Caenorhabditis elegans: one gene and its partner. The protein of the gene in region 1 interacts with the protein of each later gene in a pairwise test. Each region holds a gene or a part of one and is shown in the gene's direction. Other genes may lie near its edges. The genes, in order: ztf-3 and ztf-15.

Region 1 (5,718 bases):
GGTTTTTTCGAGCAAAACCGAAAAAATTCCGAACAATTGGAAAACGGAAAATTTTCGGCACAATTTAAAATGATTGATTATTAAACATATTAGGGAAGTGAGAAAAAATCTGTTATATCTTTTAACTTTTATTATATCTTTTAACAATTTAATTTATTACGTGAACACAAAATTCTGAGAATGCATACTGCACAACATATTTGACGCGCAAAATATCTCGTAGCGAAAACTACAGTAATCTTTTTATGACTACTCTAGCGCGTGCGCGAAACACGACATCCATGCACAATGTTTTCCAACTCACAAGTTTTACAAACTTATTTCAAAGATGTTAGTCAGTTATACATTACAAGATTGTAGAAACAATATATGCCTAATATTATGCCAGCTAACGTGATATTTTGCGCGTCAAATATGTTGTGCAATACGAATTCCCAGAGTTTACTGTTCCTGTAATAACTAAAGATTAAAAAATTAAAATATTTTCAAATACCGGTCATTAAATGAGTATTGAATGTGGAAGTAAGAAAATTATTAATTTTTGACAAATTTAAACGTAGAGAAACGGAGAGGGAAAAGTTATAAACAGTGTCCAAAAGAAAACAGGTAAACAATACTATTTCCTGTGTGAGTGTCTAGTCTATAGTGTTGAGTGGGTAAGCGATTGAGTGGAAAAGGGATCGTGTGACCCAACTAGAACAGATTACACTTTGTCTCACCAACAATTTAACCGAGATGGATTATACAAGTTCTGAATGATTAATGAACAGTGTCTAGTGATAATCAATTTAGATTACGGAAAAAATAAAACCTTAAACAATAGTTTTTTGGAAGACTATTATCTCGAAAAATTTGAACTATTACGATAACAGTAAATTCTTAAAATGCGTATTGCTCAACATATTTGACGCGCAAAATATCTCGTAGCGAAAACTACAGTAATTCTTCGTAACGTCGATTTACGGGCTCGATTTTCTAAATGAATTTATTTTCGGATAGTTACACCGATATTCCATTTTCCTTCATTTCTTCGTATTATTTTCTCATTTTTTGCTTAATTTTAATATTCTATAGATTAAAGATTATTAAATTTAATTTCGTAAATCGAGCCCGTAAATGGACAAAAGCAATACAGTAATAATTTTAATTTTAAAGATTACTGTAGTTTTCGTTACAAGATATTTTGAAAATATCTAAAAAGCCAATCTGTGGGTGGAGACTATATAAGGATTTTTCTTAATTTTATTAGCAACCTTTAAAGTAAAATTGCCTATTTGAAACTACAGGAAACGTAAACTATCCGAAAAAATGTCCGAAATTATCTCCAGACTCAATCTTTGCAGATTCTAATCCTATAGTTATTCACCTGTGTTTTGAAATTTAGGGAAATTTTCTGACTTGTGACATCATTTTGGTTGAAACTTAGTTACTCAAACTCGGAAAAATTGGAAAATCTGCTTGGAAAGCCACATCTTTTAAATATTTTATTGAAAATTTCAATAAAAAATTGGTCAAAAATTATGAAATTGTTGAAAATTGAAAAATTCCAGTACTATTATGTGAAAAGCAGGGTTTTCAAGTTTTTACAAAAAATGTAACAATTTATATGAAGATATGCAATTTTGCAGAAATTTTGGCACCTTCTTGAATTTAAACTATAAATTGCAAAATATTGGGTATTTTCCAATTAAAAATTTGCGGTTTGGTAAGCATTTTTAGCATTTTTTTTTCATAATTTTAAAAACGAATAAGCGATTTGGAGGGGCAAGAAACAATTTTTAGAGAAAAATTTATGGCTTCATCTCCACTCGGGACGTATATGGATCGAAAACCTAAAAATTGAGAGATTCAGAGAAAAAACGAGAAAAACGCGCAATTTTTATCCATTTTATCTTCTTTTTTCTTCTCTATTCTACTCTCTCCATAACAAAAAAGTCCGCAATTTGTCGTAGGCGTGTACTGCACACGAAACACTGCGTCCGACGACACTTCAGCATCGATTTTGTGCGCAAATATTGCCGTATTTCCATTGGTTTTTCTTCCATCGGAAAATGGGCGAATTCATTGGAAATGAGGAATTTCAGAATTTTATGAAAGCAACCGGATTTATTCAAGAATTCACTAGACGATTATTGGAGCGGAGTTCGAAAAATGTGAGTTTTCAGCGTTAAAAGTTTACGTTTTGCCGAAAAAACCGCTAAAATCCTTAATTTCAAATTTCAGATTATAAAAATCCCGGACAATCTATCAAATGTGAACCAGCTAACGTGTCTTGTCAAACAATTTTTGCGTGAGCAGCAGGATTTGGCCGTGAAAGTGGAGAAAGTTCAGGAAAATCAGAAGAATTTGAGCGATTTTGTCAAAGAGAAACTGACGGTGAGAAGAATTTGATTTAATTAAATTTAAAAAAAAATTTGAAAACCCACCTAGAACATTTACAAAATAAGTTTTCTAAAAATCTCAAAAACATTTTTTTTTCAGAACTGCAATTGCCACGTGCAATTAGATGTAAGAAATCTGCTGGCTAAGGAGATGAAGCTACAGGATTTACGGCAAGACGACGGATTGGTAAGAAAAATTCCAAAAATCAATCAAATTTTTCTGAAAAATTGATTTTTGCTGAATTTTCCTTTTTTTTGCCAGAAGTCAGCGATTTGAAGCAAAAAATGATAAAAATCGCGTTAATTTTCATATTTTAGAGCTGTTTAAATTGCAATTTTTCGGAATTTCTGTTATTTTTGTGTGAAAAAAAAAAAAATTATTTTAACATTTAAATTTGATTTTCAGAAAAAAAAATCTATAAAAGCCTTTCAAAATGAGTTGAAAACCTTCAAAAACCACAAATTGAATGAAAAATCAATCAATAAAAACTACAGTAACCTTCCAGGCGCATGGCTAAATTAAGGCATTTAATGTTTTCGCTGCGAGACCCATCGGCATAAATTAGTGCTCCTCCCTTTAAATACCGTAGTTTTACATTTAAAACAAAAAAAAATTGACAAAAAACTAAATTTTCGCATAAAAACTTGAGAATCAAGCGAAAAATCTAAAAATTAAGCTATAATTTTTCGGAAATTACAATGATAAATTGAAAAATTTAGCAAAAACCTGAGTTTTTGCAGGATTTCTCTATAAAACTGCCATCCACCTCCTCAACTGACTTCACCGTCTCCCTCAATCAAGTAGTCGACGCGGATGCTCAACAACGATTCGACCTGGAACTTCTGAAAATGTTCGGCGCCGGGAATATTCCCCATTTTCAGCCACCACCAGACCTCTATCAGCACCATCACATTCCTCACACGTCACAACAGGTGGCTCAGGAGAATCTAGCAATGTTGGCGAATGTACCAAAATTAGATGACAATAACGCGTATTTCGACACTTTTTCACCGGAAAAATCGGGGAAAAGGGCGAAAAAACGGGCGGCCCCGTCGTCGGCTCACGAGGCCCAGCCCAACAATGGACCTTATAAATGTCGAGACTGCGAGAAAACTTTCCGGCAAAAGCATGGGCTCAATCAACACTTGCTCACTCATGAGACGAATGGAGCATTTGAGTGTGATGGGTGTGGGAAGCGATATTCGAGACAAGAAAGTGTTTATCGACATCAGAGAGTGAGGAAAATTAGTAATAAAAGAGTTATTGGTGGCCTAGGAAGCCAAAAAGTTAGGCCATCGATTTTGTTTTTTTTTTTTGGTTATGGAAAATTAAGAAAATTTTTAAAAAAAGTTGGTGGCCTAGAAACCCAAATTATTGAAAAAAAACTAGGTCATCATCTACTTTTAATTCGATTTTTATAAAAATATGAAATAAAAACGTTATTGGTGGGCTAGAAATCCAAATGTGAAAACTTAAACAAAGTTTCTGTGGCCGAGAAATTGAACTTTTAATAAAGTTCGGCCACCGACTTTTTAAAGCTAAATTTTGGAAAAAAAGCAGGATGTTTGAAGCAAAAAATTATTTTTCGTGGCCTAGAAACCCACATTTTTGGCAATTAGGACATCCGCCTTTTTTGTGGATAAAAAAATTGTCAATAAGGACAAAAAATTTTCGAATAATCACGAAATTTCATAGATCAAGACCCACCATGCGTCTTTAACTTTTGCAAAAAAAAAATTTTTGCAGAGCACCGCCGAATGCTCAAAATATCTTCCGTTGGCTCTAATCAATGGCACGGTCGCCCGAAATCCCGTCGCCACGTGGGATACACCAACTGCTGAAATATTGCAAAAGCATCGCATTCTTTTCGGTTTAGTCAATTTTGATATAGAATTATGAAAAATTCACGCAATTTTGGTTTCTAGGCCACCGAAAAGCTTTTAGTGGCCTAGTAATCCAAGTTTTGAAAAATCTAGGTCACCAAAAAATTTGAAGTTATCAAGGCCATCATGTGGAAACCTAGTCCCCGACCGAGTTTTTTTTTCATATGGAGGCCTAGAAACTCATATCTCGGTCGTCGATGTTTTTACTGGAGATTTCTAGGCCACCAAGTGGGAAACTAGTCCCCAGGTCTTTTTCGAGTAACGCGAGTTGTATACGTTAGCAGTTGAAAAATTGAAGTTTCTCGAAAATTGATAAAAGTATGAATAATTAGGTATACCAAACATTTTTATTTTTGAATATAAATTTTAAAAAAAAGTTCATTTTTTTTAATTTTTAAGAAATTTTTTTTTCAATTTTTTACTTTTTTTTTAAATTTCAGAGCACACCATGCACAAAATACCAGAATCTAACCACTGTGGAACACGATGACACCGGAGCATTATTTTGAATTTTTCTTTAAACTTTCTCCCAATTTTTTTTTCTAGAAACCCCCGCATTTATTTCTTCCAATTTCCTCGCCTTTTTCACATTTATTACGAGTTTTCCGAGAAAGGGTAATCGATATATCGCTAAAATTTCAAATTCCACGTGTTTTAATGTAAATAGGCTGAATTTTTTTTCCGTTTTTCACGAATGTGTAATATTATTTTTTTGTTGTATTTTTTTTGTAAATTTATAAAAAATCAAAGAAATAAAATTTATTTTAGGCACTGTTGAGCAACCTGAGTTGTGGAATAAAAATAAAAATTGGAAAATTAAAATTTCAAAAAAAAAATCGAAATTTTTTTAATTTGCAAAAAACCCGAAAGTGGTGAAAAGAAATGAGAAATTGTAACTGGAATGGTTTTTTTCGTTGAATTGTTGACTAGGATGACACGTGGATACACATATCAGAAGCTGATAAGGTTAACGGAACAGGTGAAGACTTCTGGAGACCGCGGCGGTGAGCCATTTCGGGATCATTTCTGAAAATTAAAAAAATTTCAAACAAACGTTTTTTAAAATTGATTTTCCCTCCAAAATTTCCCCAAAATTTTTAACATTTTGAATTTCGCGCCGAAATTTACCGAAAGTTTTGAGTTTTTGAACTTTGCGCGAAATTTTTCTGAAAAATTTGAAAAATTTTGAATTTCCCGCCGAAATTACACTCCGCCCACTCACTTGATATCGTAGTTTTTGATCATCCAATTCTTATTGATCACAAAAAATCGGAAAATACATCGGAATATCGTGGACTCGGCTCTGGAAAAAAAAGATAATTTATTGATTTTTATGACCGCACGTGCTTCAGGCTTCCATCATATTTTGAAATTCAAGAATTTGCCGAACTATGCCATTTTGACTCGGCCACGGCCGGGGTAGATTTACGGCGTGTCACGGCTCGGTTTTCAA
Region 2 (5,862 bases), 7.0 Mb from region 1:
CACCAGCTACAATGTTTAATGATAGTGGGTTTATCGAAAAATATAACAACTTATGTTTTAATTTTTAGTTTATGACGATGAAATCGAGTTTGGCTTTTTCAAACCGTCTCGTGGTAATTTCGTCACATCGACCCCCGCACAAGGAGTTCATTTGGTCAACATTGATGAATATTTCGGAAATAAAGAGGAGGAAAGCACTCACGAACAGGAAGCTCCAGTATTTGTTGCTCCAACCAGCAGTACTTTCAGTAAATTAGTAAGTGCCAGACAAATTTTCGACATACTATTCAAACTTTTTCAGACACGTCGAAAGTCACTAGCAGCAAATCAAGCCGTTCAGCCCTCAGTCACAGAGTCATCAAAGCCTGAACGATCAGATCCTAAAGATTCATCTATCGATTGTTTGACAGCTAATCTAGGAAGACGTCTTTCAATTGGTGCTGATGAAATTCCAAATCTCACTGAAAACAACGAATCTGAAATCACTGGTTGCAAGATTCGTCGGCGCAGTGAAATTATCAAGCAAGGAGACATCAATCCATGGGACGAAACTCTTCGAAAAAAATTGATGTGTCTTGTGCGTCCTCCCCAGAATATGCACGAGTTCCAAGAACGAGCACCGAAGATTCAAGCTCTGAGAGACTGCGAGGTTAGCGGAGAAAAGCTCCACATTCAAACTCTTATTGGTCAAGGTGGATACGCTAAAGTATACCGGGCTGTAACCGATGATCAAAGGACAGTAGCTGTGAAGTACGAGGTGCCATCATGTTCGTGGGAAGTGTACATTTGCGACCAAATGCGGAATCGCCTGAAAGATCGAGGTTTGGAGCTGATGGCCAAATGTTGCATTATGGAAGTGATGGATGCTTATGTTTATTCAACTGCTTCGCTTCTTGTTAATCAGTACCACGAATATGGAACGCTGCTTGAATATGCGAATAACATGAAGGATCCGAATTGGCACATAACCTGCTTCTTGATTACCCAAATGGCCCGAGTTGTGAAGGAAGTCCATGCCTCTAAAATTATTCATGGAGATATCAAACCGGATAATTTTATGATCACCAGAAAGTATGGGAAAACATTTGTTAATTTTAGACGTTATCTTTTTTCAGGATCGATGATAAATGGGGCAAAGATGCTCTGATGAGTAACGACAGCTTTGTCATCAAGATTATCGACTGGGGACGTGCCATTGACATGATGCCACTGAAGAACCAGCGTTTCAAGGGAAGAGCAGGAACAGAAGCGTTTGATTGCCCGGAAATGGTTGACGGTCGTTCTTGGACTTACCAAGCCGATTACTTCGGATTCGCCGCAACAATGGCTGTCGTTGTTGCAGGAAAGTATGCACAGTTGACTGGAGCTAGCGTTGGAGACTATTCGTTAAATGTCGACATCAAGAGGCGCAACATTCTTCGCGATGCTTGCTACGATGTCATTAACAGATTCCTCAACATCCCTTCGTGTGATTCACTTCCGGACTGGAATATCCTGATCAAGTCTTTCTCGGAAATCTGGAATGAAAAGTTTGAAGCATCGGGATGGCGACAGGCGGTTTCCAAGTTCAATGAGGCCTGTGATCTTGCCGCCAACCAAAAGTAGCCCAACACAATGAATTTGTATTTCGTGCTCTTATTGCTCTCTTTTATTGTCTTTTGTATTGATATCATGTGAATAAACTCGTTCGGAGCTTTAATAATTGTGCATCTAATTTATTTCTGGTAAAACAAATTGAATTAAACGAAGTTTTCAGTTTTTGAAAGCTTTCCAAATTTGAACGTGATATTCGAGATTGGGCGCGGCGAGACCCATCACGGTAGAAATTTGATGCGCCTTTAAAGGGAAGTATTGCAATAGATCACAGTTAGATCTAAATAGTTGCACATTCGTTTTGTTTCATCAACTGTTTTCTTCGCGTTTTGCATAAAATGTGATATTTAAAAAAGAATTTAGAAAAAATTACAATTAAAATATTTTCCAGCCATCCTCTTGTAAAAATGGAAGAATCAGATCAGACTGTGGTGAGCGCTAGTGTTTAATCAACTTATTTTGCAAAAAGTTTCAGCTTTTACCAAATGTCGAAAATGAAATTGGCAGTTTTTATCATGACATGCCTGATGAAAAATTGCTTCGTCATATCAAAGCAATTTTCGACGAAGCTTCACTTCGACCATCTTTGGTATTTAATCTTCATTGAAACCTCAACATAAAGTTAGAGTTGTAGACTAAAAACGTGCCATCCACATCTTCACAAGTCACAGAGGAATTGAATAAAGTTGAAATCAGAGATCCAAAGCATGAAATGCAAGATGAGGTTGAAATATAAATTTGGTAAAAATGCTGTATAATTTTCGAATTCCAGCAATATCTTTCAATATTCGAAAATCCGTCCGGAGTTCAGTACAACCAAGCTGATGGCTCATTTTCGTGGAATAATCGCTTCCATAGTGTAAAAACCAACTGTAATTCATTTTCTAATGAACATTTTCAGGACAACAGCGTCCAATACATAAACGTGTTGAACAACTATGGTTGTGAAGGTGCTGATACACTATTAAATCAGTCAGACAGTAGCGATGAAACCGATGAAAGTATCGAAGAAAGACGGACCCCACGAGGAAACCGGCAGTCGCGTAGTAATTTGACATCGAAACCCTCTGCCAAATATTGGACAAAAAGAGGAGGAGATCCAATTGTTAATTGCTCGGTTAGTTCATTTTAGTTCTATATCTCATTCTCTGTAAATGAACAAAAACCTTCACTATTATCACTATTATACCATATCACTATTATAGATTTATTTATTACAACTTAAAAGTGTGTACCAACCATCAAATTTCTCAAAATCTAAAGCATAACATTCTGAACATGATTTTATTCTTCAATTTCAGTGCTCAATATGTGGATCCAAATTTTCAACCATTCGCTGTCTTCTTGATCATCGTCATCAAGAACATTCACTGAAAGATATGATGATGTGTGGTCTCTGTGGAAAAGAGTTTTCGAAGCGAACACATATCTATTTGCATCTAAGTCAAGAATACAAAGTATATCATTGTGACGGTTGCAATACATCGTTTGCCAGCAAATGGCACTTGGAAAAGCATCGATGTAAGGAAAATGAAACAATCGACGATAAAAAACGAAGAAGAACGGGACGTGTAAATGCGGAAGAAATAAAAGTAATAAAAGAAGAGATTCAAGATGAAGAATTTGGTGGCGTTGTTTTGTCTAATGAGAATCATGAAAAATCAAAAGAAGACCGTTTCCAATTCGCTTGTGTATTATGTGGAAAGAAATATCAACACTATCATTGGTTGCTCAAACATAGAACCAAATGCTTGGAAACAACGGACGAAATTCAGGTGGAGAATGTTTAGTGAAACGTTTTTGCGAGAACTTCACTAATTGAAAATATAAACTAATTTAACAGATTATTTTTTCTTGTTTTACAAAAAAAAAATAAATTTCAGTCAGAGATGGGACATAAACATTGTTTTGCAGGAATTCAAGTGCAATGTTTGCTACCGAAGATACAATTCGAGTTTTTGGTTCGAACGCCACATGGAAAAGTGTAATTCATCTACTGCACTTCCTCCTGCGCTTTTAGATCAAACCATAAGCTGTCCAAACTGTCATAAAAAATATCAAAATGAATATTGGTTTGATTATCACAAGAAGCATTGTCCAGACATTACTCCAGCTCTTTCTGATGTACATTTGGATGTCAACTCGTTGCGGGACAGACGACCACGTGAAGGAGAGATCAGCGTGGTTCCAGATGTCAATTTATTTGGTATAGAACCTGAAAGAGAAGACGACAATGACGATGACGAAGATGCTGATGCTACCATTTCATCCTCATCTTCTTCGACTGGGAATTTGGTCAATATTCCGGTAGATTACTTCATTTCTTTTAAATCTTTTTGTTTGGTTAACATACTTCTTTCAGTAATCATGTCTTAAAATCTAAATTATCACCAAAGAATGTAAATTTAACATTTTGAAGTGAATGATTCATATGATAAGATTGTATTAAAAGGGAATACGTAATAGGATTACTGTAGCTGTATCTGCAATATTGCGGCAAAAATTGATTTCTATTGAAAAATTGAAAAATTGAAAATTGACAAAGGTATCATTATGTTTTACAAAATTGAAGCTCTAAATATGTTGTTCTTACATTATAAGTTTTCAGTGTTCCATCTGTGGAAAGTTCTGTGTCGGTGTTGCAAGTCTTCTTCATCATCGGAAGCAAATTCATGGATTGACTGCAATGCTAACATGTGGTGTGTGCACGAAAAAGTTCAATACACTAAGTTCGATTCGTCGTCATATGAGTATGGAATACTCAATCTTCCGTTGCCAACAATGTGGCCGAAACTGTATCGATCGAACCACTCTTGACCGTCACGAATGCTTCAAGCCATACAAGATCCGAGATAAGAGACTTTTCAATATTCAAAATATATCAGTTCTCAAGTGCCCTGACTGCAGAGCAACTTTTGCAAATTTGAATGTTCTGTCTGAACATCGCAAGACGTGTCAATACGGCAACGTATTTGATAATATTCAACAACCGGGAAGTTCTTCTTTACGACAACATCACAGGAGCGATACAAATGGAGCCGCGTTGCAGAGAAAAATCACATCCCGTGTTCGTCTAGATTCGAATACTCCAGAGAAATGGACGGTTTGTTAATTTTCCTAATTAAAAAATAACGTTTGAGAATTTATAATTTCAGTGCCGAGATTGCCACGCCTCCTTTCATAACCTGCAAGCGTTGTGCTCACATCGACACGAATCTCACGGAAAAGAAATGTTTCAATGCAACAACTGTTCTGAAACCCTTCCAAACTATCGTGCTCTCCATGATCATAATATGATGGTAAGTTTATATGTAATGAATTTATATCACATATGCTACAACATGACCAGCATTGCAGGAACAATAGATCTACAAATGAAACAACTACGAGAAGATATTCGGAAGAAGACATCAATTACGATTACATGGACAATGTACAAATATTCGTCGTAGAAGAAAGTGAAATTTTCATTCCTATTCAACCGCATTTCTCGAGAAAGTAGATAATTCTTAATACGATGTTATGTACTGCTCCCTTGTGCTTTATTCTTTACTTTTCAGACAATAAAATTTTGAACGTTCTGTCTTCTAGATTTAAACCTTCTTCAATTAAACTCCATGTTTACTATTATTCGTTCTTCAACATTCCACAAGAAGAAAACGTTTTGTGATTCTTACCAAGCAAAGGGAGTTCCTGGAAAAAACCACAGCGCGAAACCGTACTACTTGAGTGAAGTATCCTGCCAGATCCTGGTGTCTTATCATCATTTGTGCAGAGTAAATAGAAAAGAAGAAAGAAAGAAAGAGATTGTATTTACATAAGAGAGTCTTAATTACAACTTTATTCTTGAAAAAGAAGAGTTGATGATGATGATGACAGACACACCGTTTGCGTTTTTTGAATTGATTTGATTTTCTAGAGCCTGGGGCTTTTGGAAGGCAGTTTACTGATTGATAATGTGGAGGGTCGATCGCTAGAATCGAAAGAATTATGATGTCAACGAGACTTTCAGATTATATCAATTTCAGACGTGTGGAGCGTCGGGAGAAATCAACAGAATTTAAAGATCAACGGAGACTCGGCGCGCGAATCGTTCAAACAGAGAGTGAGAGAATATGATTGAGACTGAAACTTTAACAATTAGGAAAAAGGAAACTGAGAAAAACTTGATTATAAACAAGATATGTGGGGGAAAATACAAAACTATGAGAAATTATTTGTGTGTGCAGCACTGCTGAAAAAGATGATGGACAGGAGGAAGAAAATCGA

The links.
Region 2: the proteins of ztf-3 (region 1) and ztf-15 interact in a two-hybrid assay, tested with the Caenorhabditis elegans proteins (one large-scale study listed by BioGRID).

The regions. Positions count from the first base shown.
Region 1 is NC_003279.8:285,408-291,125, reverse strand, and holds ztf-3 (C2H2-type domain-containing protein), read left to right. Parts: upstream 1-1,940; 5' UTR 1,941-2,051; coding exon 2,052-2,153; intron 2,154-2,223; coding exon 2,224-2,376; intron 2,377-2,481; coding exon 2,482-2,568; intron 2,569-3,122; coding exon 3,123-3,617; intron 3,618-4,128; coding exon 4,129-4,252; intron 4,253-4,705; coding exon 4,706-4,755; coding exon of another isoform or gene 4,756-4,774; 3' UTR 4,775-5,086; downstream 5,087-5,718. Other genes in the region: marc-4 (RING-CH-type domain-containing protein), read right to left, coding at 5,192-5,291, 5,488-5,568.
Region 2 is NC_003279.8:7,253,527-7,259,388, forward strand, and holds ztf-15 (C2H2-type domain-containing protein), read left to right. Parts: upstream 1-1,984; 5' UTR 1,985-2,000; coding exon 2,001-2,024; intron 2,025-2,068; coding exon 2,069-2,182; intron 2,183-2,227; coding exon 2,228-2,317; intron 2,318-2,365; coding exon 2,366-2,452; intron 2,453-2,494; coding exon 2,495-2,710; intron 2,711-2,894; coding exon 2,895-3,368; intron 3,369-3,507; coding exon 3,508-3,900; intron 3,901-4,201; coding exon 4,202-4,696; intron 4,697-4,748; coding exon 4,749-4,892; intron 4,893-4,942; coding exon 4,943-5,095; 3' UTR 5,096-5,173; downstream 5,174-5,862. Other genes in the region: Mitotic checkpoint serine/threonine-protein kinase bub-1, read left to right, coding at 1-24, 69-256, 302-1,071, 1,116-1,605.